Arabidopsis thaliana: one gene and its partners. The protein of the gene in region 1 interacts with the protein of each later gene in a biochemical or structural test. Each region holds a gene or a part of one and is shown in the gene's direction. Other genes may lie near its edges. The genes, in order: GP ALPHA 1, GCR1, PD1 and NDPK2.

What was found.
Region 2: the proteins of GP ALPHA 1 (region 1) and GCR1 form a complex in vitro, tested with the Arabidopsis thaliana proteins (one study listed by BioGRID).
Region 3: the proteins of GP ALPHA 1 (region 1) and PD1 form a complex in vitro, tested with the Arabidopsis thaliana proteins (one study listed by BioGRID).
Region 4: the proteins of GP ALPHA 1 (region 1) and NDPK2 form a complex in vitro, tested with the Arabidopsis thaliana proteins (one study listed by BioGRID).

The regions. Positions count from the first base shown.
Region 1 is NC_003071.7:11,194,094-11,203,065, forward strand, and holds GP ALPHA 1 (G protein alpha subunit 1), read left to right. Parts: upstream 1-2,902; 5' UTR 2,903-3,375; exon of another isoform or gene 3,376-3,727; intron 3,728-3,864; 5' UTR 3,865-3,993; coding exon 3,994-4,053; intron 4,054-4,141; coding exon 4,142-4,214; intron 4,215-4,309; coding exon 4,310-4,347; intron 4,348-4,437; coding exon 4,438-4,527; intron 4,528-4,702; coding exon 4,703-4,780; intron 4,781-4,882; coding exon 4,883-4,990; intron 4,991-5,072; coding exon 5,073-5,174; intron 5,175-5,415; coding exon 5,416-5,471; intron 5,472-5,846; coding exon 5,847-5,981; intron 5,982-6,063; coding exon 6,064-6,157; intron 6,158-6,248; coding exon 6,249-6,308; intron 6,309-6,394; coding exon 6,395-6,474; intron 6,475-6,551; coding exon 6,552-6,729; 3' UTR 6,730-7,009; downstream 7,010-8,972. Other genes in the region: ARSK1 (root-specific kinase 1), read right to left, coding at 1-166; FAP2 (Chalcone-flavanone isomerase family protein), read left to right, coding at 7,677-8,083, 8,153-8,387, 8,515-8,590, 8,676-8,778, 8,913-8,972. UniProt on the Arabidopsis thaliana protein: Exhibits a fast rate of basal nucleotide exchange. Guanine nucleotide-binding proteins (G proteins) are involved as modulators or transducers in various transmembrane signaling systems.
Region 2 is NC_003070.9:17,825,991-17,833,726, reverse strand, and holds GCR1 (G-protein-coupled receptor 1), read left to right. Parts: upstream 1-3,306; 5' UTR 3,307-3,512; coding exon 3,513-3,695; intron 3,696-3,889; coding exon 3,890-3,921; intron 3,922-4,005; coding exon 4,006-4,175; intron 4,176-4,304; coding exon 4,305-4,399; intron 4,400-4,547; coding exon 4,548-4,649; intron 4,650-4,751; coding exon 4,752-4,808; intron 4,809-4,894; coding exon 4,895-5,038; intron 5,039-5,129; coding exon 5,130-5,200; intron 5,201-5,286; coding exon 5,287-5,413; 3' UTR 5,414-5,488; exon of another isoform or gene 5,489-5,572; 3' UTR 5,573-5,774; downstream 5,775-7,736. UniProt on the Arabidopsis thaliana protein: Together with GPA1, may regulate the cell cycle via a signaling cascade that uses phosphatidylinositol-specific phospholipase C (PI-PLC) as an effector and inositol 1,4,5-trisphosphate(IP(3)) as a second messenger.
Region 3 is NC_003071.7:11,853,123-11,859,676, forward strand, and holds PD1 (prephenate dehydratase 1), read left to right. Parts: upstream 1-3,448; 5' UTR 3,449-3,685; coding exon 3,686-4,960; 3' UTR 4,961-5,166; downstream 5,167-6,554. Other genes in the region: NAT12 (nucleobase-ascorbate transporter 12), read left to right, coding at 1-54, 135-308, 697-797, 909-1,044, 1,210-1,260, 1,428-1,715, 1,842-2,076, 2,286-2,866. UniProt on the Arabidopsis thaliana protein: Converts the prephenate produced from the shikimate-chorismate pathway into phenylalanine. Together with GCR1 and GPA1, required for blue light-mediated synthesis of phenylpyruvate and subsequently of phenylalanine (Phe), in etiolated seedlings.
Region 4 is NC_003076.8:25,370,230-25,377,505, reverse strand, and holds NDPK2 (nucleoside diphosphate kinase 2), read left to right. Parts: upstream 1-3,601; 5' UTR 3,602-3,667; coding exon 3,668-3,907; intron 3,908-4,087; coding exon 4,088-4,144; intron 4,145-4,289; coding exon 4,290-4,376; intron 4,377-4,596; coding exon 4,597-4,677; intron 4,678-4,771; coding exon 4,772-4,884; intron 4,885-4,973; coding exon 4,974-5,023; intron 5,024-5,316; coding exon 5,317-5,384; 3' UTR 5,385-5,602; downstream 5,603-7,276. Other genes in the region: NPX1 (nuclear protein X1), read left to right, coding at 1-47, 127-285, 684-754, 921-993, 1,078-1,161, 1,251-1,375, 1,473-1,539, 1,632-1,762 and 1 more; AT5G63300 (Ribosomal protein S21 family protein), read right to left, coding at 5,731-6,384; AT5G63290 (Radical SAM superfamily protein), read left to right, coding at 6,612-7,276. UniProt on the Arabidopsis thaliana protein: Major role in the synthesis of nucleoside triphosphates other than ATP. The ATP gamma phosphate is transferred to the NDP beta phosphate via a ping-pong mechanism, using a phosphorylated active-site intermediate. May activate MPK3 and MPK6.

The DNA.
Region 1 (8,972 bases):
AGCTTGGATCGCTTATGTCCGATAAAGACAGCCTCTTGAACGCTGGACAAGTTCTTATTTTCATTACAGCCTTCTCCCCTCCTTCGTATTTGCTTGCGTTCTTTGCCTTGTAACACCCCAAGAACAGAGATGTCAATGATGTTTTCTTCTTCTTGAACACTGCCATTTTCAACTTCTTCTTTTGTGTTATTTGGGGAAAAAATGGAGAAAGTTAGTCTTTTACTCCTTTTGATGAATCTTTTGTAGAGTGCGTAGGTTTAGAAATTAAGGATGTTCTAGTTAACCTACTTGTCTTCAAAGTCCTCTAATTTATAGTAGTTGTTGTGTCTTATTCGTACTGACCGACCTTTGAGTTTTCAAATTTATTTATATATACAAAAAGTTTGCTTTTTTTTTTTTGTATTAGTTGTATAAAAATGTTGAAGTTATTTTTGGTGGATATATTTATATTGTTCTAAGCTCTATGCTGATATTTTTTTCAGGAGAAACACGATTCCATGTTCACATTAATCCTCACAATAATATTGAAAAATAACGCAAGTTGTTTTCTTTTTCTAATCACAATATAATCAATATTATTGATTATAAATTCATTCAGTTGTTTGTACTTAGACTTCATCTCACCAAAGTCTACGGGCTATATAATTTTGCTTATATATTCAATGAATTGAAAATTGTCTCTCGCTCTACATTCCAAATACGATCTCTCGTTTCATTATAGACTTAGTTCTGTCTAATAGTTTTTGTTGTAATAATTTAGGTAATTTAAAAATGATTTTGTGAATTTAATGGTGTCTCTCTATATTCCACTATCTCGATTTCTAGTTTCATAAGACTAATTAGTTATTTACTAATAGTTTTTGTTCTAATAATTTAGGCAATTAATTTAAAAATGATTTGGTATACATTTCAGGCTGGCAAATAAATATTACGTATAAAGAAGATTTGATTCGCCTTGTTGAAAGGAGAATGAGATGATTAGGCCATAATTGGATGTCCGTTGACTTTGTTTCTTCCATGATTAAAATTTAAGAAGTAAGGAAGAGAAACAAATTTGAACCATTGATTTTGTTACTCTTAACTAAATAATCATTTATTCAATAACTAAAGGTCGGTTGGTCTTCAGGTACGAACGTTCTTCTATACTAACTTGTAAATTGTAAACGTAACAGATTGTGCAGTAGAGATTGCGGTTACAAATGTTTGACAACGATCACAAAAATTGTTTAACACCGCGTATTCTTCCGCCAACGTTTGCGGCAGCGGGTGGTTAAAAATTACACTATTTTTAAGTTTTAAATTCAAATAAATTTAATAACTTTTTTGACTCTTGGAGTCATGCTCTGAACACAAATGATTCATTTTCCGGAGAACATAAGTGCATTGTATCCGTCTAATCGTCCCAACATACTTCACTATAAATGTAATTTAATACTAACAATTAAATTGAAGTGTTGTTCGTCGCATGCATGTATGTACGTACAATAATTATATAGTTTCATTATCATAGAACTGTCGGGGAAATTGTGAATCATCACCAGCCGCCACATGAACTTATTTGCCGTTGTTCTGGTTTAAGGCTGGTAAGATTTATTCGGCGGCTGTAGGCCTGTAGCCCTTGAAATATGGTAGACAAGATCGTCCATATAATTAAGATTTTGTTTTTCACTTCTAAATTAATTAATGGGTGACTTGGGCGATTTTGTATTGTTGTTTAGTGGCTAGAAAGAAAACTTTTAACGATAAATTTACTTATGCAAAAATTATATTAGTTTAGTTTAGCAACTTTATATGTACTTAATTAGTAAAATAATACATTTAAATGTAAACTATTTGTACATATTAATGTTGTCCAAACAATATGCACTTTTTGAATTTTTTTACTGTATTCTCCACCTAGTTTTTCTAATTCATCCAAGCATTTTGATGAATTTGCATGTCTCCATAGATGAATTAGTATCTACTATCTCTAAAAACTCAATCTCCACCGAAGATATTGCTTAACCAATGTGCTCCTAGACCAAATCCAAAACCTTAGCCGCTTCATACTTAACATCCACTTTTGTAGCATCCTCAAACTGTTTTACAACCTTTTCAACCGGGACACAATCGCCTTGTCTTAGTAGTGAAGCGTAGGTTAATCATGGATGATGATTTTTGTTCTTTGACAACATCTGGTAAGGTTTTTGGTTTATGGCTCACCCTTTTTACTTTTTCGGTCTTTCTTATATAGTGTTTTGGTGGGTTTTTTCTCGTTCATTTTTCACGACCTTCTTATCCTATTACTAGGGTCATTAAATTGTTCGTTAGGTTAAAGAGATTTACAATATGAAACCGATTATGTCCATTAAAACGTGAATAAGACAGAAAAGAGCACCAAGAAAATGAAAAATAATTTAATGTATGTTCAGGAAATCCTATGAAAACATAATGATTGATCGGGTTTATTGGTTTTGTAGCTGGTGGTTTAAGTGGTTAGGGAAGCTATGTATTTATAATTTATTGATTCAATATGGTTTTGCATCTGAAATATATTTAAGCCCAACCAATAAATATACCATCACTCGCCAAGACCGTTTCTCAGTGGAAACATTTTGTGAGAAGTTCAAGTCGATGTTAATGATTGTAAGGATTTAACGGATGTGATGTTTTTGTAGGTTGAAGATTTAAAGTACTATATGATATGTTGTGTTTTTATCGATTTTGAATCTTTATTTTCTTTCCTAAATCAAAACTGCAATATATTTCCTAAGCTAGCAAAACCCATTCTAGATATAAGTAGAGTCCAGCTTGTAATGCAACTGCAAAGCAAAAATCAAGATATTTCGATACAAGGACTTGATGTCATAAAATTCCAAATTTGTTTTGTCTTGCCACACTTAGTAATTCTCTTCCAATAATGGTTAACTTAATAGTATATAAAATAAAAATGCATATAGGTTCCGTAATTAATCTTCTTTATCGTCACGAGAGGCACATCTTTTTTCAACATTTGACCACTCTCTCTCTCTCTCTCTCAGGACCTTTCGGCGTAATTTCGTCTTCCCCTTTGCTTAACATTTTCTTTCTTTCTTTTTGACCAAATATTAAAAATATATCCATTTTTATTTTATTTTTAATTAAATTCATAATTTGCATTTTATGTATTTATAATAAAAAGGAGAGAATAAATCCAAAAGAGTGAAGCAAAAACATTAAAGCGGAAAGAAAGTGGTAAAACAATAATAGAAACAGGAGAAGCAGAAGTACTACTTCTTCTTCTTCTGCTCTCTTCTCAGACCTTGTTTTGTACTTTCTTCTTCTTCTTCTTCTTCTTGTTTGCGAACTCCGATATCTTCTTCACTACCTTTGACTCCATTTCTTTTTCTTCTTCAGGTGAATTCTACTTTACTTTTCTTCTTACCCCAAATTTACTCTTTTGGGTTTTATGAAAGTTTTGTTTTTTATTACTCAGATCTTGTCCTAGTTCTCCTCCTTGTTCTGTTGTTTTTCTGTTTCGTTTCGAATTGGTTTTGTTTTTCAAGTTTAGGGTTTTGTAGATCAGTTCGTCGTTACTGTAGATTGGAAATGAAAATTATGATTCTTTGGATCTGATTATAGCAGTTCAAGTGTGAACTCTATCTATTACTTGATTTGCTATCTCACAGTTTTTGAATTTCTTAATGGTGTTAGCTACTCGACTTTTAGAGCTCATTTTCTTAACTACTGAACTTGTTTCATTTGAGAGGTACTAATCCAGTATATATTATAAAGTTTAATGCTTTTTCTTACTTGCATTCTTTGAACATGTTTGCTATTTTGGTGAGTGAAACTTTATGTATATTTATGAATTTTGAGCTAAAGTATTGATTGTTTCATAAGTAGGTGTAGGCATTGTCTTGTTATGAGAAGCAACTGTAGCTGGAAGCTCAAGTATTTGTTTTTAGCTGTGGAGCTTGAATCTTGATAGTTTTCGACTTCTATGTTATTACCTGTGGGGATATAGAAACAATCATGGGCTTACTCTGCAGTAGAAGTCGACATCATACTGAAGATACTGATGAGAATACACAGGTTGACTTAAGAGCTCTTGTAACACTCGATGTATGGGAGCATTATTTCTGATACTTCAAGAGTTAACTTGGTTTGTATTAATCTACAGGCTGCTGAAATCGAAAGACGGATAGAGCAAGAAGCAAAGGCTGAAAAGCATATTCGGAAGCTTTTGCTACTTGGTATGTAGACCTTGGATTAGAAATGTGAATGGCATGCCTTGATGAATCTTTTGGTAATAGTTTTCCTCTAATTTTCTGACTTGTGTTTTGTAAAGGTGCTGGGGAATCTGGAAAATCTACAATTTTTAAGCAGGCAAGTCCACAAGGAAAATTGATTGTACTCTTTACTTAAATTTACTTATGAATCCTGCTAATTGAATGATACAAATTTACTAATTTGCAGATAAAACTTCTATTCCAAACGGGATTTGATGAAGGAGAACTAAAGAGCTATGTTCCAGTCATTCATGCCAATGTCTATCAGACTATAAAAGTATGCAATACTTGAAATGACTGTGTCGGTTTTATCCTTCTAATTGGCGGTGTTTTCGAGTTCTTTTGGATTTACAATCTAGAGAATCATTTATATGAGTAATCAAATTTTTTTCATATGTTGATCTTGGTATATTGTACATGTAGCTTAATAGCTACTCTATATTGTTGAACAGTTATTGCATGATGGAACAAAGGAGTTTGCTCAAAATGAAACAGATTCTGCTAAATATATGTTATCTTCTGAAAGTATTGTAAGTGGTTAGATTCATAGGTCACTTGAGCTGTCTTTGTTAGAGTTTTGAGTCTTGTGAGTACCTTGTCTTATGGTAGTCAACTTATTATCGTAATATCAGGCAATTGGGGAGAAACTATCTGAGATTGGTGGTAGGTTAGACTATCCACGTCTTACCAAGGACATCGCTGAGGGAATAGAAACACTATGGAAGGATCCTGCAATTCAGGTGTGTTTGTGTGTGTGTGTGCACGTTTTATTTACTATTGCACTCAAAGTTGAATACATGATTTAAACGTTTCATTTTGTAGGAAACTTGTGCTCGTGGTAATGAGCTTCAGGTTCCTGATTGTACGAAATATCTGATGGAGAACTTGAAGAGACTATCAGATATAAATTATATTCCAACTAAGGTATAACCAAAGTATCATTCTTTGTTGAAAACATTTCAAGTAATGATCTTAAAATGGTTGAATAAAACTCATTGGATCAGCCTCGGAGGATCAATGTATTAACAAACAGAAGCCTTTTGCTTTCCATATTAGCCTAGTTGAGCTAGCATTTTCAGAGACCAGAGTCAATATGCAATTTCTGTGACATGTGTCTTCCGGAATGTGTTGTCATTGGTGCATTTTTTCTATGTTGGTGTTTCAGGAGGATGTACTTTATGCAAGAGTTCGCACAACTGGTGTCGTGGAAATACAGTTCAGGTACCAACTACTTTTTGTTTTACCCTTTTTCCTGTTTGATTGTTAGTCTTTCATAGATGAGTAATTGTTTGATAAGCTCTAAGTGTTAGTCTGGTTCACTAGGCAATATGATTAGCTAGGCGGTTTGTAGTAGCTGTGTTAACAGCTCAGCAACAATCTTGTTAATGTAGTCTCTCTGCGATGTGTAAGTTATTTGGTGAAATGAATAAAAGTGTTTACGGATTCGATTCCTATGATTGCCACTAAGATGTACTAATAGAACATATGAATTCCATACCAATATCAAACTTGTTGTTGTGGTGAATCTACTTGTAATGATCCGTTACCAAAGATGAATTCACAAATGGTATATGAGATAAAGCTTCGTTTATGCAGCCCTGTGGGAGAGAATAAAAAAAGTGGTGAAGTGTACCGATTGTTTGACGTGGGTGGACAGAGAAATGAGAGGAGGAAATGGATTCATCTGTTTGAAGGTGTAACAGCTGTGATATTTTGTGCTGCCATCAGCGAGTAAGCTCACTTCATTATAAATTATAAGATATCCTCGTACTGTCCACATATTGCCAAAACATTAACTGAGTTTTGATCATAGGTACGACCAAACGCTCTTTGAGGACGAGCAGAAAAACAGGATGATGGAGACCAAGGAATTATTCGACTGGGTCCTGAAACAACCCTGTTTTGAGGTTTTTAGTTACATTTTTATCTCATCTTTTAAAAATTTAAAGACACTCTTGAGATGGGTTTGGTTACAAAAACTTGGTTCTCTTTACGCAGAAAACATCCTTCATGCTGTTCTTGAACAAGTTCGACATATTTGAGAAGAAAGTTCTTGACGTAAGAAGAACTAAAGCATATTTATTTGTTTTGATAGGCAAGCAAGTCTTTTTGTTCAATAACGCTTTCTTATTCAATGTGCATAGGTTCCGTTGAACGTTTGCGAGTGGTTCAGAGATTACCAACCAGTTTCAAGTGGGAAACAAGAGATTGAGCATGCATACGAGTAAGCTTGTCTCCAAACTTTACTGATTCCCGCCAAACTGTTACCGTTATATGACCTTATTTTTAATTTGGATTCAGGTTTGTGAAGAAGAAGTTTGAGGAGTTATATTACCAGAACACGGCGCCGGATAGAGTGGACAGGGTATTCAAAATCTACAGGACGACGGCTTTGGACCAGAAGCTTGTAAAGAAAACGTTCAAGCTCGTAGATGAGACACTAAGAAGGAGAAATTTACTGGAGGCTGGCCTTTTATGACCTTATTATTACATATCTCTAGTAAATTACCTCTCCTTATTATTATAAGAAAAACTCGAAAACTGAATGACCGTGTAATTTATCTTTCGGGACAAAAGACTTAGCGATTCAAAATCTAATGTGTCTCGATGGCTACGACTAGTTTCTATTTTATCATTGTTTTTGTTAACATTCCTCTGTCTTTGACTTCTTATTTTTTTTTCTCATCAAAAACATCTCATTTTGATCTTGTTTTTGGGGTTATATTATTATTAAAATGAGGCATCCACATCCCGAAATCTAGAAAGTGAAACACAACACAAAACGTAACTTTATCAGTACTAAAAAGTTTTGGAATGTTCCTAACATGAAAAAGTTCTTACATTAAAAAAAAGTATGGGGGTGAAACTGAACAAATACAAAATATGATGTAAAAACTGAAATAAAAGTAAAACACATGGGGTCTACCGTGATTTCAGAACATTCGAAAAAGCGACTTTAAAAATAATTGCACCGAAGAAAGAAGAACCCTGAAAGCAAAAAACTCTTCGCCGTTGTTGTTTCTTACGTCAAAGAATATTCCTTCTTCTCTTTCGTTAATAGATCCCAAAAAAAAAAAAAAGCTTCATTGATTCTTCTTCCTCTGTTTTTGATTCCGTTTTCGAGCAATCCTCTGAAACATGTATGTTGTTGTTCTCTCTTTCTTCCAATGGTGTTCTGATTTTGCTTTTTCTGTTATACGATAATGATAACAATCGCTTCTTAGTTTGATTAATACGAAACTCTCAAAGATCACGAAATTGGTTTTGTTAGGGAACCATTTAGATCAAGGCTTGTTTGTGATTGTTGTTGTTGATTCAGCTTTGATTTGATTCGTTAGCCATTGATTTTGATTTGAGAATTTGTCTTTGTTTGATTTTTCTTGCAGAATCTTTGGTACAATTGGAGTTATATTCAAAAGCTTATAAATGTCAAATATGGATCCTAATTCAGTTTTACCTAAGAGAAGTTTCTTACAACATGAGTTGTTTTCACAATTACATATACCTGGAAGCTTAGCTTTCGAAGCATTTAGTTGTATCTCTAAGTTTACAGGAGCTTTGCTTTGTTGGTTTTCACATGGAAACTTGCAAAAAGAAGTATCTAAACATCAATGGGGATTAACTTGTAAGAGCCGTGATTCTTTAAAACATGTGTTTGAACATAGGAACGTCTCTGTGTTCCCATTTCACTATGTATCAAAAGATATTAGTCCTGGCTTCTTTGGAAACATATCTAAATCCACTATTCAGCATTTTGTTAATGAAGCTGAGAGGCTACATTCGTGTTCTTTGCTCTCTTTGGCGGCTGCGATGATACCGTCTTTGAATGTCATGTAAGTTTAGTAATATTGTTTAGTGCTAAAACTCTCTTTGGGGAAGTTTCTGATTGTAGATTTTATTAGGTCTGCAAATGGACTTGCTCTGCCACTAGGGAGTAATGATGTTAAACTTAGGGAGAACATTGAACATAGGACTTGTCCGGAGAACACTGAACATAGGACTTGTCAGGTGGGATGTGAAGAATATAGTGGTTTGAGTTTTCAAAAATTAGACTGGACAAGACAATCAGTGGAGCCTAGGACGGGGATCGAGTTCCCGATGTTGTTGAAGGAGAATGCTTCGCGATCGAATTCTGAGGTTCTTATAGCTTTTTCTTCCTCAGTTTGTTATTCTTTGTCATTACAACTTATGTTAGAGTCACCAAAGAAGAGATTTGATTTAAATTTCGAAAAGTTAATACGTTTTGAATTCATCATAATTTAAGGTGCTTGTTGCAACGGGATCTCGGACAATGAAAATTATCAGAATTAAATCTCTAAAAGTATATGCATTTGGTTTTTGTAAGTGCATTCTAGCTTTGTATCTTTCTATATATATGGAACAATTTGTCATCTTTTGCTTCTAACTTGAACTTCTCTGGATTAGATGTTCACCCTTCCTCGGTCTGTCAGAAGCTTGGCCGAAAGTATGCCTCGGTTCCAGCAAGCAAACTTGACAAATGCGATGACTTATACAAAGACCTTCTTAGGTATTATAGCAATCTTTTTCATATTATTAGAATTGTGCACTTTTATTTGTTTGAAGTCCACTCTAATCTGATTTAGTTGGTGTAGCTTTGATTGGACATTTCGTCTGAAAGTCTTTTATTTGAGTTTTTTTCAGGGAGGATATTGTTATGAGTGTGAGGCTTGTGGTTAACTACAATGGCTTGAAGATCAATAC
Region 2 (7,736 bases), on another chromosome or scaffold:
AGTTTATATATGTTTGTGTTTAATGATTAAATATAGTATGTCCTCAAAATTTTCTTAAGATATAATATTTAATTTATGAAGTAATCTTTAAGGAAAACGCAGAAGAAGTAAAGAGTTATATAAAATAAATAAACAAACTAAAATATTGTGTTTTAGTAAGACATATACATAATACTTGATCATCGAATTAAATATGAACACAAATAAATGTTAATTCCGAACCTGATTCCGAAACGTAGCAAAGTATATTGTATATATTACATTAGTGTAGAAAAGATATCATAAGTACGTACTATATATAACATGGTTATTTCAAAATAGGATAGATAGATATACGTAAATGATATACCATGTAAAGCTCTCAAGTAAGAATCGTTAAGATTAATTTGCGTGTGTTGTGCGAAAGAACTTCCGTATTTGTAGATTAGTGGGTAATTAAAGAAAAAAAATGAAACACAATGTAGTATAGGTAAAACTACAACATGAGATTTCTATATATTCAAGTTTGGTCGCAGATGATAAATTGATAACTGTGGTTTAGTGAAACAAAAAGAGTTTAGGGTTTGTATATAATAGAAACTAAAACCCATATATCCAACAAAGACATTGACCAAAGATCAATGAAATCGCTGTTTATTCTCCTTAATTTTCAAAAAGAGATATGGAGAGGCAGATGAAGGATACATATCACTTAAGGCATTAAAGAGAAATAGTACCTTGGAGATGAAACTCTGGAAGAAGGAAGATGAATACTGGTGATAGTCGTCTTCCCCAAAAAAAAAGCTCTTTACATTCTCATTAATGATGAGGATGATGCTCGCTGATTACACATGCAGCTCTTATATGATGATATTATATTCATATGTGACTATGTGAGTTCTTTATATCTCTGCAGGAATGAAAATGAATAGGTTTCTTATATGGAATTTCTTATAAAAAATAATAATATAAGCTTAATGGTACGAGAGATGTCTTGGAAGGGTTAAAAACTTGGGGAAACCGGAAGAAAAATATTGTTTAATAATTAAAGTATAAGGAAAACGAAAGAAACAAAAAAAAAATCATGTATATGTAAGTCATATGTAGACGTCTATTTCATAAATGGAGATCTATTTCATAAATGGAGTACGAATGAAACAATAGTTTAATACGGACAAAATCAGGTGTACCCTTTTTGTATGCAAACTATAACTAAAGATCGAATAAAACCGAAAGGATAATGACATGTGTTATAAATTATCCAAATTAGAAAATTGGATTAGATGATGGGTCATGTTCCTAGAGGAAGAGTATTTTTCCGTATACCTCTCAATTGAAGTAAACATTTCCAGAGTTATTTATGCCAATATCAATGATTTAGTATGTCATAGACTCATAGTAAATGTTTATTTATATATTTGCCATTTTTTTTATTTTATGGTTTAACGAATAAATTTTTTGATCCGTTGTTAATTAAGTCATCAAGAAGTTTTTTTTTAGAATATATTCGGACATGATAATGAATTAATCCAGGAATTTTGTAAGTAATATTAGCTAAAAAATTTCAGTACTTCACAATAATGTATTACTAACAATCACCTCGTGTATGAACTATTTGTATTTGACTATAGAAAGGCTATTATGTAATTCTCAGTCTGAGCGGGTCGGGATAATATTGCAACGTAACTAACATGTTTAGACAAGCCATCATAAAATTTCAATGTATGAAGATAATTCGTAATTGCTGTACTAATTAAATTTATGTAATTTTGTGTGGATTGACAAAATTCGTCTGTTTGGTTTTTGTACGTTTGTTGCCATTTAGTAGATGATATGTCATTGGGTAAATTAGCACACGAAAATCATTTAATATATATAATAAACAGTCATTATAACATGTATACGTAAATTATATTACGAATTGTGATAAGTCTAGCCACGGGGTTTACGACCAAAAGCAATACATAAATAATAATCAGGGAGATCCATGAACTTATATATACAAAGAGTGAGGACACGAGAAGCAATATGTGTCAATGTGTGGAAGAATGTCTCCATCATTAACCTAATTATATTATATTTTTATGTTTTATAATTTTTATGGTCTTCTCCGCTTGGTAGTTTTAGCCTTACAGCCATTAACTATCGTAAATTAGGGTACTAATACTTGTTATTTTTTTTGGTAAAAGGTGAAATTTTATACTATTTTTAGTTTGTGATAGAATTACAGAGAAAACTAGAAACAGATTAAAGCAATCTACGTAAATATAAAAACAACATTACAACTCAAGATGCAAAGGATCACTACTAAGTGGTCAAAGCCAAATTGCAAAAAGAAACACCGATTCCGAACCCGCGAAGCTCAGAAAATTGTGTGGTTGCCACAAAACCGAAGAACTGGAATCATCATCTTAATTGCCACGAGCAAAACTATCCAAGATCCGTCCACAAAACTTCAAGATAGAAGTCTACAACTTCTCTGAGAACTAACGCAAAAACGTAAAAGCAATCGTGGACTTCTATACTAACTCAACAAGATAGCAATGCCACTTAGACTTATTCGCCGCCTCTATTCAACATTCTGACAACCTAGCCAATGCTCGTTATTTGCTTATTATTAGTTCTTACGTACGTGTTTTATATTCGTTTTGAAAAACAAATAATTGTCGTTAATAATCAGCTAATAAATAGTATAAATTTATGACTTGCAAGTACAAGCTTGTTATATATATTACTTGCTTATATATAACTTATTTTTATTTGAATGTTTTGTGCTTAGGATGCTTGAAACTTTGAATGTTTTGTAATTTCTATTGTATATGAGATTTTTTTTCGATTCAAGTTGCAATTATTTTACAAGTAACAAGCAATATCAAATTATTTAGCAAGTAATAAGCCAAATCAAGTTATTTAGCAAATAATCATATTTTATATGTTATAACAAGTCCAAAATTCATTTACTTGAAAGGGGCAAAACGGGTCAGAAGGCCATGCCTAGGTATTTTTGTGCTCGGTGATTGATAGTATAGTCGTGTAGATAATTTATTTAAAAACAATAGTATACATAATTTGTTATAATATTATATATATATATATATATATATATATTTATTTTTATATAGAGTATACTATAAATAAGATTAATTATAAAATTAAATAGTATAATATTTACATGTGCATAACATAAGTTATTACCTAGTATAATTTAAATATTCATACATGTATAAAATTAAAATTTTCCAAAAATATGTGATAACTTGACATGTAAATAACATCATATAAATGTTTTTAATAATTAATATAGCATATATGAATTAATGCTTAACAAAATCATTGGGCTGGGCCTAAAGAAGTGCACTACGAGGAGTCCGGTTCAAAAGACACGACTTGACCCGACCGATCCGACCCGGGTAAGAGGTTAGCCCACCACGCAACGTCCGTCGGGGAAGATACCACGCGACGGAAACGACGAACACGAACAGCGGAAATCGTCAATTCAATCTCTCAGATCAGTTTTGGAATCACATATAACAATGTCGGCGGTTCTCACAGCCGGCGGAGGCTTAACTGCCGGGGATCGCAGCATTATTACGGCGATTAACACCGGCGCTTCGAGTCTCTCATTCGTCGGCTCAGCCTTCATCGTTCTCTGCTACTGCCTCTTCAAAGAACTTCGAAAATTCTCTTTCAAGCTCGTCTTCTACCTTGCTCTCTCTGTAAGTTTCCCGTTGTTGCCTTTCGCTGATTGTGCTAGATCTAGGATTATGTACTGTTTTGCTTCCTTCTTCTTCGATTATTCTCACTGTGAATTGTTACATCGCTAAGACGTTAAGTTCCATTGCGTTCTGAGATGAGTAGTGAGGGTTCGAGCTCTATTGCTGACTAATGGCAATGTTTTTAATTGTTGCAGGATATGCTTTGCAGTTTCTTCCTAATCGTTGGGTATGTTTATCTACTACTATTGGTTCTGGTGAATCTTGTTGAGATTATTTTGATAAGATGATTGTTACATCTTGATCACTGTAGGGATCCTTCAAAGGGGTTCATTTGTTACGCACAAGGCTACACTACTCATTTCTTCTGCGTTGCTTCGTTCTTGTGGACAACTACAATTGCTTTCACTCTTCATCGTACTGTTGTCAAGCATAAAACTGATGTGGAGGATTTGGAAGCAATGTTTCATTTGTATGTATGGGGTATGTAAAATGATACTCGTGGGTTTCGGTTCTCAATTGTTACTATATCCACCTAGGGTTAAGGATTAGAATGTGTTAGTATCTTCTTTGGTGATTTAGTAAGACTCTGATTTTAGTTACTTTTCTCAGGGACTTCCTTGGTTGTGACTGTCATACGTTCTTTTGGTAACAACCACTCACATTTGGGGCCATGGTGCTGGACGCAAACTGGTCTTAAGGGAAAGGCAAGTGAGAATGCTTAGTTGAGCATAAAGATTTCAATGCCTATCAAAAGGCATTTGAACTTTTTTGTTGCAACGCTGGGCCAGATGAATGTAGACTAGTATTTTATTCTTCGTTACTGGAACTCATATCACCTCTTGAATTTTGCAGGCTGTTCATTTTTTAACTTTCTACGCTCCTCTTTGGGGAGCCATTCTTTACAATGGGTTTACTTACTTCCAAGTGATACGGATGCTAAGAAATGCTAGACGTGTATGTAACTCTCTCATCTCTAATAACATTGTCTTCTGAAAGTAGTTCACAAACGTTACTGATACACTTGGCTGTGTGCTGAAATGGCAATGTTAATTTCAGATGGCAGTTGGAATGTCAGACCGAGTCGATCAATTTGATAATAGAGCAGAGTTAAAGGTCTGTCTTTATTGCCAATACTAGTTCTGTATCATGTGGCTGGATTTCATCATTAAAACCTCACTGCTTGTTTCCTGAAACCACAGGTGTTGAACAGATGGGGATACTATCCACTCATTCTAATAGGATCATGGGCATTCGGCACTATTAACCGTATCCATGATTTCATCGAGCCAGGGCATAAGATCTTCTGGCTCTCAGTTCTTGACGTTGGGACAGCTGCACTAATGGTAGCAAACCTATCAAATAAATAAGTTATAAAATTCGCCATAGATCATCTTTGCTCTTCCCGAGTCGATGTTCTGAATGTTGTATTTTCAGGGCTTGTTCAATTCAATAGCCTATGGTTTCAACAGCTCAGTGCGTCGAGCAATCCATGAGAGACTGGAGCTGTAAGTCACCACCGATCTCTTTGGTTTGCTATATTATTCCCAATAATCAATGAAGCTTGATTTTTATGAAACCCTTGGTCTGCTAGATTCTTGCCAGAACGGCTATATCGATGGCTTCCAAGCAATTTCAGACCAAAAAACCATCTGATTCTACATCAGCAACAACAACAGCGAAGCGAAATGGTATCACTCAAGACCGAGGACCAGCAATGACACTAACTTTCAACTAATACATTGGACCGATAACAAGAAGGCGGCGATGATAATAGCGTTTGGATGGAGAGATTGGTAAGTTTCCTCTATGATTGTTTTGTCTTTAATTTCCGTTTACATGGATCAGTAAGTGTGTTTTGTTTTGTGTTTCTCTCTTAGATATGGTGAAGGGGGGTGCACAACAGGTTGTCAATGTATATGAAACATTCTTTGGGAACACGAACTTAACAATTTATTTATTTTTGTATGAACTTTTTTATTGTGAGGTCTTCTGATCTTGATTTGAAATTAACGAACTTGGAGTTCTTGGACGACAATGTTGAAGAGTTTTGTTACGTAAGTCATATGAAAATACTATCACTTAAACCGGCGCCGTTTCTAAAGAGGAATTACAAAATTCGTATCAATCTTCAAAACCCTAGAGATCACCGCGATTTCTTTCTCCCCAAGACTGAACGACTCTGTCTTCAAACTCGGGTGGGGATTGAGATGGGTTTGTCTTTTCGTCTAACAGTGATCCAACAGTGGAGAAAGAAGAAAAGAAGACGAAGCCAAGCACTACTGGAGATTCCAACGGATGTGGTGACAGAGATTCTTACGAGATTCCCTGTTAAAACCCTAATGGATTCAAGTGCGTCTCAAAGCTCTGGTCATCTATCATACGCTCTCCATAGTCCATACTTTACCAGTCGTTTCATTAAGGTCCCATCTCAACGAATTTACATTTGTGTATCACATTTCGAGGACTACCGTCCCTCTAAAATCCTATCATTAGCTCCATCCGCTACTAGTCCATCTTCCTCCTTTGTTGTTGACCATCCGAGATAGGGGAGGCAAGATCTTACAAAAACTTAGTGGCTTCATCTGCTACACATTTTTGAAAAAACCGCGAATGTATAACCCTACCACCAGACAACTTGTGACCTTGCCCACCATAAAATTAAAAACCAAAACCTCGGCTCCAGAAAGGTCGAAGTGGTGTTACTATTTTGGACATTACCCTATTAACGAACAGTACAAAGTTACTCTGCTCAGTTGTCGTCGGATATTTTATTTTATCATCAGACCATTGGGTCTTTGACCTAAAACCTGGAGGTTCGTGGAAAAAGGTGACTTTGCCTCCCGTGGACTTTTATCCTCACCTTCCTCTTAGACAAGGACTATCATTGAATGGGGTTATACATTACCTGGCTTGGATTGATTCGTCTAATTATATGGTTGTGAGCTTCGACATCGGATATGAAGAATTCAAAATGATCGAGTACCTCACAGGGAAGAAGATGTGAGCCTGCATAGAGCCATCAAGAAGGTGTGTCTTATAGAATATGGCGGAAAAGTAACTGTTTTTTACCATACCGATCTTGAAGACAAGAGTACAGTGAATTTATGGGTTCTAGAAGATGTCAGGACAAAGGAGTGGTTGGCGAAAACTCTGGTTTTGCAACCTTGTCCGCTGCATTTGGTCAAGAACGTTAGATTGGATTGGAGTTAAAAGGTATAACTCAAAGTGGCAAGGTTATAATGACACCAGATTATTTGTTTGATATGTTGTACATTCTTTGTTGTGATCTGCAAAGTAATGATATTAGAGAGATTAAAATCAAAGGTATACATTACCATTATGTTCCTAAGAAGGGTGAATTTGTGCCTACTCAATTTAGTTTGATGTTTATGGATCAGAGATCAGAGTGAGAGCGTCATGTACTTAAAGACTTGAATATTGTAGCTCTAATGCATGCAATTGAGACCATAAAAGAAGCTGCATCTGTGGTTTGTGCAATACAGTAACCTTTCAAAAATGAATATGGGTCCATAACAAGAAGACGGCGTATGATACATAGCATTTGGATGGAGATTGGTAGGTTATTTTTGTTATGCCTTTAAATTCCTTATGTTAATGACTACCAGTCTACCACTATGTTGTCTTCTTCTTCTCTTGTGATGTAGCACAACCATTCGTCAATGTACAAAAATAACATTCTTTGGACACGAGAGATCAAAGGAACTACTGCATGATTACACTTTATAGATTCAAATGATGCAATCTCAAACAAAGTACAACAAATACATTTTTATACAAAAACAGGTGACAAACTTTTTCTAGTACTATTAGTACTGAACAAATATGTACTTCAAGAAAAAGGTGAAATCTGATGCCTTTAAAACATTACTACATAGACTACTTCACACAAATATAATCAACTCTAGTTGACCTGTATACAAACCTCCTCCTAATCATTTTTCTTGGTTATGTCTTTTTTTTTACTTTTTGTTATTTGTTTCAAGTGAACTTTATCCTTTTAAAAACTTTCTCGCATCTGAA
Region 3 (6,554 bases), 660 kb from region 1:
GGATCATTGATTCTGGTTCCACTTGTTATTGTTCCTGCAATGGGAGGTTCACATGTAAGTGTGATTCTTTTGGACTCTCTACTTTGGACAATGATGATTGCAAATGTAATTTCAACTTTTTTTTTGGATTATAGGAGGAGGTTGCAAATGTTGTATCGACTGTACTTTTTGTCTCTGGAATCACTACACTGTTGCATACTTCGTTTGGGTCGAGGCTTCCTTTGATTCAAGGTCCTTCCTTTGTCTTTCTGGCTCCGGCTTTGGCTATAATAAACTCTCCAGAGTTTCAAGGTTTGAATGGAAATAATGTAAGTTTGAAAGAAGAACCTCTTCTGCTATCTATGATTAAGTAAAATGTCAGTCATTGGGTTCCGTTGAGGATATGGTGATGTTACTATCGAAATGTAGCTGTTATTTCAGAATGTAGCCTCGTAATTTTTTGCTGCTTAGGGTAATCTGTTGTAAAAATCATGCAAGTAACCTGTTGGAGCTCTCTTTCAACTTTTATGGCAAATTTTACTTAGCGAGAAATAACAAATCGTCATTAGGAAGACTTCTGCACTAGGCAAGGGTGGATTGAAAACATCCTTTTCTACTCTTGGCATTTCTGATTATTCTGTGTTTGTCTATAGCAATTCTTCTTTTTTCTATGGTTTGTTAATTTGTTCTAGTTTTGTGTTTTGGTTAATACGGTAGAACTTCAAGCATATCATGAGGGAGCTGCAAGGTGCAATCATAATTGGTTCAGCTTTTCAAGCAGTGCTTGGATACAGTGGCCTAATGTCACTGATTTTGAGGTATACATCTCTGAGTTTGTCCTATTTGCTGTTTTGTTTACACATGGTTGTTGTGGCTTTGTGTGGTGCAGTATTAACTTGTATTCATAATTCTCTTGACCTTCTGTATAGGTTGGTCAATCCAGTAGTTGTTGCTCCGACGGTAGCTGCAGTTGGACTTTCCTTTTACAGCTATGGTTTCCCGCTTGTTGGTAAATGTCTTGAGATCGGTGTTGTGCAGATACTACTTGTGATCATCTTTGCTCTTGTAAGTTTAGTGAAGTTACTTTTATCCGCCCTCTTTGCAAATGGAGTTTGTTTGGATGCTAGTTACAAGTTTTGATTTTCTTCTTGAAGTTATGTTACTTCAAAAATTTCATATCACATCAGGTTCATGTCAACAAAATTTGATACTTTCCCATTCTTTCTGCAGTACCTCCGGAAAATCTCAGTTTTAAGCCATCGTATTTTCCTTATTTATGCGGTAAGTAGGTTCATGTCTGCTTTTCCTTAGCTCTTTCGGTATATAGGAAAAGTAAGACTCGAGTAATCTTTACCTCAATTGAATCAACTCTGATAATGTGGTAATCATCTGACATTTCCAACTCTACATGTGACTTTGACTGACCTAATTTAACTTCTTACTGACAGGTTCCATTGAGTCTTGCAATCACTTGGGCTGCTGCATTCCTTTTAACTGAAACAGGAGCTTACACCTACAAAGGTTGTGACCCAAACGTTCCTGTCTCAAATGTTGTATCGACCCACTGCAGAAAATACATGACCAGAATGAAGTACTGTCGGGTTGATACTTCTCATGCGCTGAGTTCCGCCCCATGGTTTAGGTTTCCTTACCCCTTGCAATGGGGTGTACCGTTATTCAACTGGAAAATGGCTTTTGTTATGTGTGTGGTCTCCGTAATTGCTTCAGTAGATTCGGTTAGTGTTTCCTATCATCTTTGATTAAACCATCAAAATTATGTGTTGGAAGTCAAACTTTTGCACTTTTACTAATCAGTTTACGGTACGGTATGCATATATGGTAATTTTTTATTTTACTGTCAGGTTGGTTCGTACCATGCTTCTTCTCTATTAGTAGCATCGAGGCCTCCAACTCGTGGTGTTGTGAGTCGGGCAATCGGTCTTGAAGGTTTCACAAGTGTCTTAGCCGGTCTTTGGGGTACAGGTACTGGTTCAACCACTCTAACCGAAAACGTTCACACAATCGCTGTGACCAAAATGGGAAGCCGCAGAGTTGTTGAGTTAGGCGCGTGTGTTTTGGTTATATTTTCTCTTGTTGGTAAGTAAGTGGCACTGCTTATTTATCTTCAAGTTTCAAGTTCTCTATTTCATAATTTTTTTTTTGAATGTAACTCTATTTCATAATTTACATGACCTCTTTAGCAAATACAAGTAACTATACATCAATAGCATCTGAAAATTAGCTCAACTGTACAACAGGTACCATTTTTTACTCTCTTTGACTAAAACAGTTTTTGATGTCCTCAGGTAAGGTTGGAGGGTTTCTCGCATCAATTCCGCAAGTCATGGTTGCTTCTCTTCTGTGCTTCATGTGGGCAATGTTTACGGCTTTAGGTCTTTCCAACTTACGTTATAGTGAAGCTGGAAGCTCGCGGAATATCATAATTGTTGGGTTGTCGCTGTTCTTTTCTCTCTCTGTCCCAGCTTACTTCCAGCAGTATGGCATATCTCCAAACTCGAATCTCTCTGTTCCAAGTTATTACCAACCTTACATTGTTTCTTCACATGGACCCTTCAAAAGCCAATACAAAGGGGTACGTTACGCTTTGCGCTCACTTTCATTTTCACAGGACCTTCAGTTTTCATATCTTCTAGTGTATTTGCAGATGAACTACGTGATGAACACGCTCTTGTCAATGAGCATGGTGATTGCGTTCATCATGGCTGTGATTTTGGACAACACGGTCCCGGGGAGCAAGCAAGAACGCGGAGTTTATGTTTGGTCTGACAGTGAGACTGCAACAAGAGAACCAGCACTTGCTAAAGACTATGAACTGCCGTTTCGGGTGGGGAGGTTTTTCAGATGGGTCAAATGGGTGGGCATTTGATAAAACAACAACACAATGGCAAAAAGTGGTAAATATGTCAGATGAGAGATCCCTCTTTTTCTTTTCTTTTTCCCGTCGTCTCTGTTATTTTGATTAGTAGTCTCTCAATTTTATAACACGGTGGAAGCTTTTTCTTGGGTCACAAGTTTGTCAATTGGAGAGTTTTTGGTTATTGAAACAGAGAATATGGAAGTCATGTTGTTGTAAGTTATATAGATTATGATCAAATGCTTTTGTAACTAGAGTTATTCTTTTTTCTCACTATCTATCTTATTCCTTGTTTGTTAAATCTATTGCGAATTTAAAAGATTTTGGTGGGTCAGTTACGTATATGGATTGGTTTAAAGTTTAGACTTTAGACTTTTGAGAGTTGGTTATAACATACAAATGGTATATAAAAATATCCAATTATTTGGAAGAGTTTGGTACCTAAAATACTATAAAACAAAAGTAGATGGATGTGATCTAACCTTTCCCTTGCTACTTTTATATGTACCATAAATATCTTAAATAAATAAATTGGATGATAAACAAATACAATTTGAGTTGCATAAATTTAGGGATTAATATGGATTTTGGTTTGAGATTATTAAAAAAAAAAGTGAGACTATTCAAGAAAAATTTGGATTGAAAAAGATATGACATCGTTTGGGCTTATCTCTCTTGGCCCACCATTACGCAAATGGTGGTAGGTAGGTGAAGAACGGTGAGAGGCACAAGATCATTCCACGCTCTTCCTCTCTTCTCCTATAACAACAACACTCTTCACTTACTCTTAAACAAAACATTTCCATAACCAAAAAACCTCAAAATAAAAAAATGAGAACTCTCTTACCTTCCCATACTCCGGCAACGGTAACAACGGCGGCGAGAAGAAGACACGTCATACATTGCGCCGGTAAGAGATCTGACTCTTTCTCCATTAATTCCAGTAGCTCCGATTGGCAAAGCTCCTGCGCCATTCTCTCAAGCAAAGTTAACTCACAAGAACAATCTGAATCCTTATCTTCCAATTCCAATGGATCATCATCCTACCACGTTTCCGCCGTCAACGGTCACAACAACGGCGCCGGAGTCTCAGATTTGAATCTAGTTCCATTCAACAACAACCAATCGATTCAATCGAAGAAGCCTTTAAGTATTTCAGATCTATCTCCAGCTCCGATGCATGGATCTAACCTCCGTGTAGCTTATCAAGGTGTTCCCGGAGCTTACTCCGAAGCCGCCGCTGGTAAAGCTTATCCTAACTGTCAAGCGATTCCTTGCGATCAATTCGAAGTTGCGTTTCAAGCGGTTGAGCTTTGGATCGCCGATCGCGCTGTTTTACCCGTCGAAAACTCACTCGGCGGTTCGATTCATCGTAATTACGATCTTCTCCTCCGTCACCGTCTTCACATCGTCGGCGAAGTTCAGCTTCCGGTTCATCATTGTCTCATTGCTCTTCCCGGTGTACGGAAAGAGTTTCTCACTCGTGTGATCTCTCATCCTCAAGGACTAGCTCAATGCGAACACACGTTGACTAAACTCGGTCTCAACGTAGCTCGTGAAGCTGTTGATGATACCGCCGGTGCGGCGGAGTTTATCGCTGCGAATAATATCCGTGACACCGCCGCGATTGCGAGTGCACGCGCGGCGGAGATCTACGGATTGGAGATTTTGGAAGATGGGATACAAGATGACGCGAGTAACGTCACGCGCTTTGTGATGTTGGCGCGTGAACCGATTATACCGAGAACTGATCGGCCGTTTAAGACGAGTATAGTGTTTGCTCACGAGAAAGGCACGTGCGTTTTGTTTAAGGTTCTCTCTGCTTTTGCGTTTAGGAACATTAGTTTGACTAAGATTGAGTCTAGGCCGAACCATAATGTTCCTATTAGGCTAGTCGATGAGGCTAATGTGGGCACGGCTAAGCATTTTGAGTATATGTTTTATATCGACTTCGAGGCTTCCATGGCCGAGTCACGTGCTCAGAATGCGCTTTCTGAGGTTCAAGAGTTTACGTCGTTTTTACGGGTTTTGGGGAGTTATCCGATGGATATGACTTCTTGGTCACCATCGTCTTCGTCCTCTTCGTCATCAACATTTTCATTGTGACAACACTAAGATCATAACCAACGTGTGAAGTCAATTGTGTATGTAAATTGGAGAAGAAAGTTGTAAACATAATTTTGGTGAAAATAAATTACTTATTTCTCCAAAGATCAATCTTTTGTATTTTGCTGTTTACATTATTATACTTTGGAGTTTCGTTTGATCGTAGTTTTATTATGAAATTGCAAGTTTTGAGTTGATTTATTCTCTATTTGACCATAATTTTTTTTTTGTTTACAAACTATCTTAACCAACAATAATTGAGACATTTCTAATCAGTTCTAATTATTTAAGCGTTTGAAGACAAACAATAAATTTGAGTGATTTATTTTTTGAATTGTTATTTAGCTCCCTGTAATAGTGTTAAACTTGTGATTTTTCTCAATCCAAATAATAAGCACTTGATAATTGCTATCAAGAACAAACATGGGCCTTAAACAAACTAACCTGAAAGCCTTTATATCGTAAATTAGAAACCCATATACATGAAAAGCCCAAACATGAGCGACATCAATAACAATTATTGTTTAAAATTCATACGTTAATATTCTGTATTTGATATAGATCAACATCGACTCTTTCAGTTTCGACTTTGGGCAATTAAAACAAAGATTATGATCCCGTTTTCTTCAATCCATCGACATAAAAAATCAACTACATATTATGGTACTTCTCATCTATCGTTCTTTATCAAGCATCACCCCCTTAAATTCTAAATATAAGCTTCGATAGATAATAATATATCAAGCTTGAGATGCTGTCATCCGGGGGAGGCAACATCCCCAAACTTAAAAATAAAAGAGAGAACATTTTCTGCTCAAAATAAAATGAAGATAACTTTGTCGCGTAGCAAAAGCATCATTAATTCAAATGCAAATTGGGGTAGTATCGTGGAAGGCTATCTATCAAATTTGTGCAGATAGCCACGTTTCTATTATGTGTATTAACGAAATTTGCTTCTTATTATTATATCAGCCATGAGATTCAATCTTTCTAAATAAAATTGCATTTTCAATCATAACACTTTTTATGGTTATAATATAATTAGGCCACGTGAAGCATCAAAGCGAAGAAGCTCGTATACATACCAGAACAAAAACTAATATTAGGTCCACTCCTATTTTGATTAGTTTAAAATTAGATATTTCGTTAAACCTCACATAAGTTGGTCATATAATATTTTGCAAAGAGGTTTACTTACGTAATCTTATGCCCAACATAAATAATTGATCTATTTTATGTTATGCTTCGACCCTCGATAAGTCAAGTTTAGCTGCAATAATAGTTCGTGTATTTCTTGATTCTTTGATTTAATACTTATGCAACGTAATTGTCCAAATGATGTTACTATACTATGCAATTATTGAGGAGACTAATTGCAAAACAAGTTGAAGAGGATGAGATTGGTCACGTCTCCGGCATCTTTCAGTTATGTCGGCCGTTTGGTCCCATCTTCGCTTTCTGTTCCTGCCATGTGTTTTTTGTATGTTACACCGTGTTTCTATTTGTTTGTAATTAAGAGAGACTTGGCCTTGTACTCTTGTAGGCCTAGCTTTGTTCGTTGAACCTCTTTTTTTTTATTTTTTTTGTTCGTCGA
Region 4 (7,276 bases), on another chromosome or scaffold:
TGTTCATGACTCTGGATTCAGTAATTCCCCTTTGCAGCCTAGTAAAGGTATGTTTTTGCTATTTAATTTGATGTCGAAAATGATTTCCTTCAGTAATCTGAGTATCTGATGTACTCATAATCACAGGTGATCTGCAAATTGACGAGGATGTTGACATAGTTGGTGGGAATGACCCCTCGGTCTCAAGCCATCCTCCTCTTAAGATAGAAAAAGATGCTGCATGTAGAAATAATGAAAGCAGCAGTTCGAGTAGCTCTAGTAGTGAATCAGGCTCTTCATCTAGTGGTTCGTGTTTATGCGAGCCTTCTTCTATTTCCTTAGAATAATCATTTTGTTTCTCTTAAATAGTGCATTGATTTGTACAGTTTGTAAGAATAGTTAAGATTGGAAATAAAGTAACTTTTCTATTGAAATGATTAGTATTGGACTCCTGAGTCTTGTTTTGTAATTTGAGCCTACGTCGTGTCCCATATTATCTTTTCGATGCTTTTTCTCTGCTCTAGTAAGTGTGGTTATTCCCTTGCTATAGAGGATATTATAGTTAGTTTCTGTGGTTATCGTTTATGACGAATGAATTAAGTTCTTACATTGTGGTTTGGCAAACTGTAGAATTGATTCCTTTGCTTTATTTTTACTCATAGGAAGTGCTTTTTATACTGATGTGTTCTGTGATTATCTTTCAGATTCTGATTCTTGTAGTTCCTCTGGGAGTGAAACAGATTCTATTAAAGCTTCAAAACCCACAAGTAGAGAGGTATATCTAACAGTGGAATAACTTATGTTATGGAGTCTCTGTGTTTGGATGTTGCTCTAATTTCTGCAAGATTTTTCATTTACTCACCAATATTTCCATGGACTATTTGCAATCATAAAAGTGAAATTACTACAGAAAAATAAGTATAGTCTCCTCTTTAATTTAGGAAAAAAAGCAACCAGGAGTTGGTATAGACAAAAAAGAGGATGATAGCAACAGTGAGAAGATAGTTGTAAATGGTTAGTCTCTTTATAATTGATGTATGCAAGTTGGAGTGCTCGGATATAGAAGTCTTCCCGACACTCATTCTTTGTTCTCTGTAGATTCTTTGAATGAATTGGATCAACTTGAGCATACTGTTGGGGAAAAGTCAACCACCATGGATGCAGTAGTTCTCGTTCCAGATGGTAAGAAATGAAAGTTAAGGAAGGTTGGAGATGGTAATAGATGTTTATTTTCAGATCATGAGTTTACCTGTCATGCTTTGGTATTATAGAGGAGACTGCTCCACCTGAGAGGCAAATTTCCCCAGATTCCCCAGATAAGCGTTACCGCGCGGCTTTCTTGAAGAATCGTTTTGCTGATACCATTATGAAAGCTCGAGAGAAGGCTTTTACCAAGGTTGAATTTTTAAGTGTCCGATCTACTGTGTTGACGAAAAAGCTCGCCTGAACTTGTGGATTGTTTTAATCAAAAAATTTAATGCATCAAATTTCAGGGTGAAAAAGGGGATCCTGAAAAATTGAGGATAGAAAGAGAGGAGTTTGAAAAACGGCTACGGGAAGGTTGGATTGTAGTGCATTCGAGTGTGCTTATGTACCCATAATTCCTAACTAAATACTTTTATTTTTAATTCTTGCGATTTCCGTTTGATTAGAAAAAGAACGGTTACAAGCCGAGGCCAAAGCAGCTGAGGAGGCTCGGAGAAAAGCCAAAGCAGAAGCCGCAGAAAAAGCGAGGAGGGAAAGAGAGCAAGAGAGAGAAGCTGCACGTCAAGCTTTACAAAAGGTATAAAAGACTTTTCGAGTTTCTCTTCTATTATTCAGAGCCCTACCATGGTGTACAATCATGATAAATGACTTTCTGGTCTGTTGCAGATGGAAAAGACAGTGGAGATAAACGAGGGCATACGGTTTATGGAAGACCTCCAGATGCTTAGAGCTACAGGTACAGAAGGTGATCAATTACCGACTTCCATGGAAGTGATGAGTCCCAAGTTTAGTGAGGATATGTTGGGTTTGGGTAGTTTCAAGATGGAAAGCAACAGTAATCCATTAGAACATCTAGGTCTGTATATGAAAATGGATGAGGATGAGGATGAAGAAGAAGACCCGCCACACTTTAGCCAGAGAAAAGTAGAAGACAATCCCTTTGACAGAAGTGAAAAACAGGAACATAGTCCTCACAGAGTAGAAGGAGAGGATCAACTCGTTAGCGGAAATGAAGAGCCGGTGAGCCAAGAGGCACATGATAATGGGGACCAAGAAGATGGAAAACCCATAAACCCAAATGAAATAGAACGACAACTGGAGAATATGCCAGAGCAAGAAAGTGGAGTTGGTGACAAGGAAGAGCAAGAAACTGAAGTTGTCGATATGAGAAAGCAAGAAAATGAAGTTGTTGATATGGGAGTGGAAGAAGTACATCCCCTTGACCGAAGTGAAGGGCGTACACTCAGTCCTCACAGAAAAGAGAGAGAGGACCCACGTGCTAGCGGTAATGAAGAATCGGTAAGCGAAAAGGCACAAGATTATGAGAACCAAAGAGATGAAAAAATCAATCAAAGCGAGAGAGAAGAACAATTGGAGAATGTGCTAGAGCAAGAAAGTAGTAGAGATGATGATACAGGAGAGCAAGAAACTGAAGTTGTCGGAGTAGGAAAAGAACTTTCCCTTGACAAAAGTGAAGGACAAACACTTAGTCCTCACAGAGAAGAGGGAGAGAACCAACTCGATTGTGGAAACGAAGAACTGGTAAGCCAAAAGACACAAGATAATGGGAACCAAGAAGATGAAAAATCCATCAATAAAATTGAAGGAGAAGAACAATTGGCGAATGTGCCAGAGCAAGAAAGTAGAGTTACTGAAAAAGAAGAACAAGAAACTGGAGTTGTCGACTTGGGAGAGCAAAAAAGCGAAGTTGTCGAAAAGGGGGTAGAAGAAAATGAAGCTGTTGACAATGGTGAGGGAGTGCAAGGAACTGAAGTTTCGGACAAGGGAGGAAACGAAACTGTAGTTGATGGCAATGGAAAGGTAGAAACCGAAGTTGTGGACAAGGCAGGGCAAAAAACTGACCTTGTTGACCAGGGAGAGGAAGATATAGATGTAGAAATTGATTGATGAAGTCTTTTTTCCGGGTCTTGTTAAAAGCAACAAGATGAAAAGAAAAAGTTGGGGATGTTTACGCATTGATTCTTCTATGCACAAAATGTAAATTTGATGTGGCGTGAAATGGCTAAAGCAAGCAAAAGAAAGGCAAAGCCAGATACATCTAGAAGACAAGACGATGAGTCTGTATTGCCTATTTTTCAACGTGACTCTGTTGACAATGATTCTAAATCGACGAAAAAAGAAAAAGAAAAAAACAATTTTGCTACAAGAAAGATGGTTTGGTTTGGTATTAAAGCAGCAAATTGTGCGACTGTTGAAATGTGCAGACTTTTGTTTTTTTTAATCTTTTAGAAGAGTAAACTGTACAGGGAAAGAGAAAGAGTCTGTTTCCTCCATTTAAACGAGACACTCTTTGTACTCGAGATCACTTTTTAAATTACTTCTGAGCACTGATACTTTTTGATTGATCAACTAAACCCAAATTATCTTCGCTTCTGGATAAAGGGTATTTATGTCAATTAACTTTGTTCTTATAAGATGATGATGCGAAGACACTGAGAGAAGCTAAGACAAAGCGCAGAAAATGGTGGGAGCGACTGTAGTTAGTAAATGGACTCCCCTATGTGTGGCTTCGCCGCCGGAGAGAAACTCGGCAAGTCTCAATCCACACTGTTCTCCAGCCAGGGTTAATTTTAGAACAGCGTTGGCCGCATTTCGTCCTCAGTTCCGTCTTTTCTCTCGCAATTCCGCGTCTCGCCGCCGTCTTCGCGCTTCCAGCTCCGCCGAATCGGGAATCTTCCTTCCTCACCTTGTAGCTTCTATGGTTTGTGTGCTTCCCCTCCATTTATGCGAATTACTTTGTTTTCTTAGTACTTACATTGATTAAACTCCGAAATCAGGAATTTAGGATTCAAATTAGTTTGGATATATTCTAATTTGATGAATCTCAATGCAATTTAGTGACCTTTTGATTGTTCTTACGTTGTTTTCTGTATTGTTTCAGGAGGACGTTGAGGAGACTTACATTATGGTGAAACCTGATGGCATACAACGAGGCCTTGTAAGCGTTTTTGCTTTTCATTTTTTTTCTTCTTCTGATTTTGAGGTTAAATTATGTATCTTGGAACTCTATGGAGCTTTGAATGTTATTTCATTACACTATCTTGGCTTAAATTATGAATGTATGATTCATTTGATGTTCTTAGGTAGGAGAAATCATTTCTCGCTTTGAGAAAAAGGGGTTTAAACTTATTGGGCTCAAGATGTTTCAGTGCCCAAAAGAATTGGCTGAGGTTTGACACTCACTCATTACATCAGTAGTTTGATAACTTTAGATTGCTTCTTAATGTGATATAACTAATAAATCATTGACAAGTATCGAGAAATTGAAGCCTGATCATGACTTGCATATTTCACTTATTCGCTACATTTGCGTAAGATGACGCTGCCTCATTTTTTTTTCATATTCGATTGACATAATTAATATTCTTGTGTGTTTATCTCAATTGCCAGGAGCATTATAAGGATCTTAGTGCTAAATCATTCTTTCCTAACCTGATTGAGTACATCACTTCAGGTCCAGTTGTGTGTATGGTATGGGTATAACTATGCTCTAATTTGATTTTTACTTGTTTTCAAGTTGTAATTAGATGAGTTAATTGCATGTGATGTTTTAAACCTGGTAAAGGCTTGGGAAGGTGTTGGTGTTGTTGCTTCAGCCAGGAAGCTAATAGGGAAAACAGATCCGCTTCAAGCTGAACCTGGTACTATAAGAGGAGATCTTGCTGTGCAAACCGGAAGGTTGGACTTCTATCATCTTTAAAATTGTTGGAAGTAAGCACTTAAAATAATTCTCATGGTTTGATATTTTTAAATTATGCAATTTGCAGGAACATTGTGCATGGTAGTGACAGCCCTGAAAACGGCAAGCGTGAGATTGGTGAGATTTCTTGTTTTTTGTTCAAATCATTCACCCATCTTTCATTGTTGAGACATTGACTATGTCCAGTTTAGGGGCAAATCAACGTGGTTCAAACTGCTTCAAATTAACTTGATAACATAACTAGATTAGATCATACTTGATTACTGAAATTGTTAGGTTCAATATATCTGTTTTAAACCATTACTATCACTTCTTCATTTACTTAGTTTGACCAATCACTCTCATTCCTTAGTATGCTAAACTTTTAGTTTTCATTTGCTGACATTTTGGCTCTTGTGGTTGTGGCATAGGTCTGTGGTTCAAAGAGGGCGAGCTATGCAAGTGGGATTCGGCTCTAGCTACATGGCTAAGGGAGTGATCCTTGAGAAGACAGAGTCAATTATAATGGTGTCCTTACTTGTTTTCTTGTTACCGATGATGAGCTTTGGTGTTTTGTTCCTGATTTTGGGCGGCAATATAATATAACTGCCAATCTATGGCTTGATTCTTCTCATATCTGTGATCACTTGTCATGTAATCAAAACTAGTTACAGATTCATCTGCATTTGGTTCTACGTTACAGACACCTCCAAAATCATTCATCTTCACTCTACACCGAGCAATGAAAATTTTCTAATCTCAAGCTAAAAGAACATACAAAAGAGTGGCTTTACAAAACGCAGATGCTGCGTGATTAAGATTGCTCAGATCAGTGTACCGGAATATCATTCCGGTTTACTTCTAAGACCGGTTGGTATATGGAATCTCAATGTCCTCAGGAGGAAGTTCCCAGTGATCGTCTTGTTCGTCTTCTCTGGATGCATTTCTGTTGTGCTTGCGGATCTCTGAAGTTGATAGTGGTTTTGGTTTAGGGTTTGGTCTCCTGTAAAATCAAAATCTATTGACTCAACTTCTCCAAGTGTTTTTCGAAAGAAAGAAGAAAAAGTGAAAAAAAAATCTGACCTTTTCCGATACTTCTTCGCAGCTTCTTTGGTCTTCCGCGTCTTCTTCTCCAGAGAGCTCTCGAAGAAGCGTCGTCTTCGAGATTCCTGCAACACACCCGCTCTGAAACACGACCTCTTGAAATCGTTAACCAGCTGCTCCTCCGATTCGCCGTCTTTAGGCACCACCTCGACGTTGTAGTAACTGGACTTGAAGAATACGAGATTCGCGTTCGCCAGCGAAGGATACGCCACTCGATTGATGACGTCATCGTGCTCGGCCGTTAAAATCTTCGTCGTCATCGACAAATGCTGTGACGTTCTCGCGGATACGGAAGACGGAAGCGTGATAGGTTTCAGACTCGACGGAGACGGTGGTTTCGACGAGAGAAGGGAAGAGAGAAGCTCCGAGAGAGAGACTATCGATTCTAGCGCCATTTTTTTTTCCGTCTGAATAAGTGAATAATCGTTTCATTCTTATTATAATATTTTTCAATTGTAATTAGTGTGTTAATTAGATGGTCAAGTCTTTAGTGAGTCTACTTTCTGACTAAAACGACGACGTTGAAGCATATAAAACGAGACCAGTGAACTTTGATCTTTGAAAGCTTTCTCTCTTCGTCTCTCTGGCTCTCTTTCTTTTTCTCTCGTTTTATTTGGTAATTATGCTGAAAACAACGATTTCTCCAATTTTCTCATCGTTTACAGGTAAACCCAAGTGCTCATCGAAGTTGTTTTTTCGAGCTTTTAGTAAGGTTGTTCTACAAGATACTCCACCAAGTGCTCGACGAAATGCGTCAACCAATCTTACTACGTTACACAAAGGTCCACCAACCTCAGCCTACGTTCATCTTCCGTTTTGTCGCAAACGCTGTCATTATTGTGACTTTCCTATCTTAGCTCTAGGCATGTCTTCTTCTTCAGCCAGACCGTCTAATGTCTACGAGGAAGGAAAAGAAGATGACCCGAGAATCACGAACTATGTGAATTTGCTTGTTAGAGAGATAAAAGCGACAAGGACGGATTTTGATACGAACCCGAATCTAGAAACGGTGTTTTTCGGTGGTGGGACGCCTTCTCTTGTTCCTCCGAAGCTTGTTTCTTTGATTCTGGAAACATTGAGTTTGAATTTCGGGCTGAGTCCAGATGCTGAGATATCAATGGAGATGGATCCAGGCACGTTTGATGGTCAGAAGCTGAAGGATTTGATGAAATTGGGAGTTAACAGAGTGTCTTTAGGAGTTCAAGCTTTTCAAGATGAGCTTTTGAAAGCTTGTGGAAGAGCTCATGGTGTCTCTCAAGTGTATGAAGCAATAGAGTTTGTTAAAGA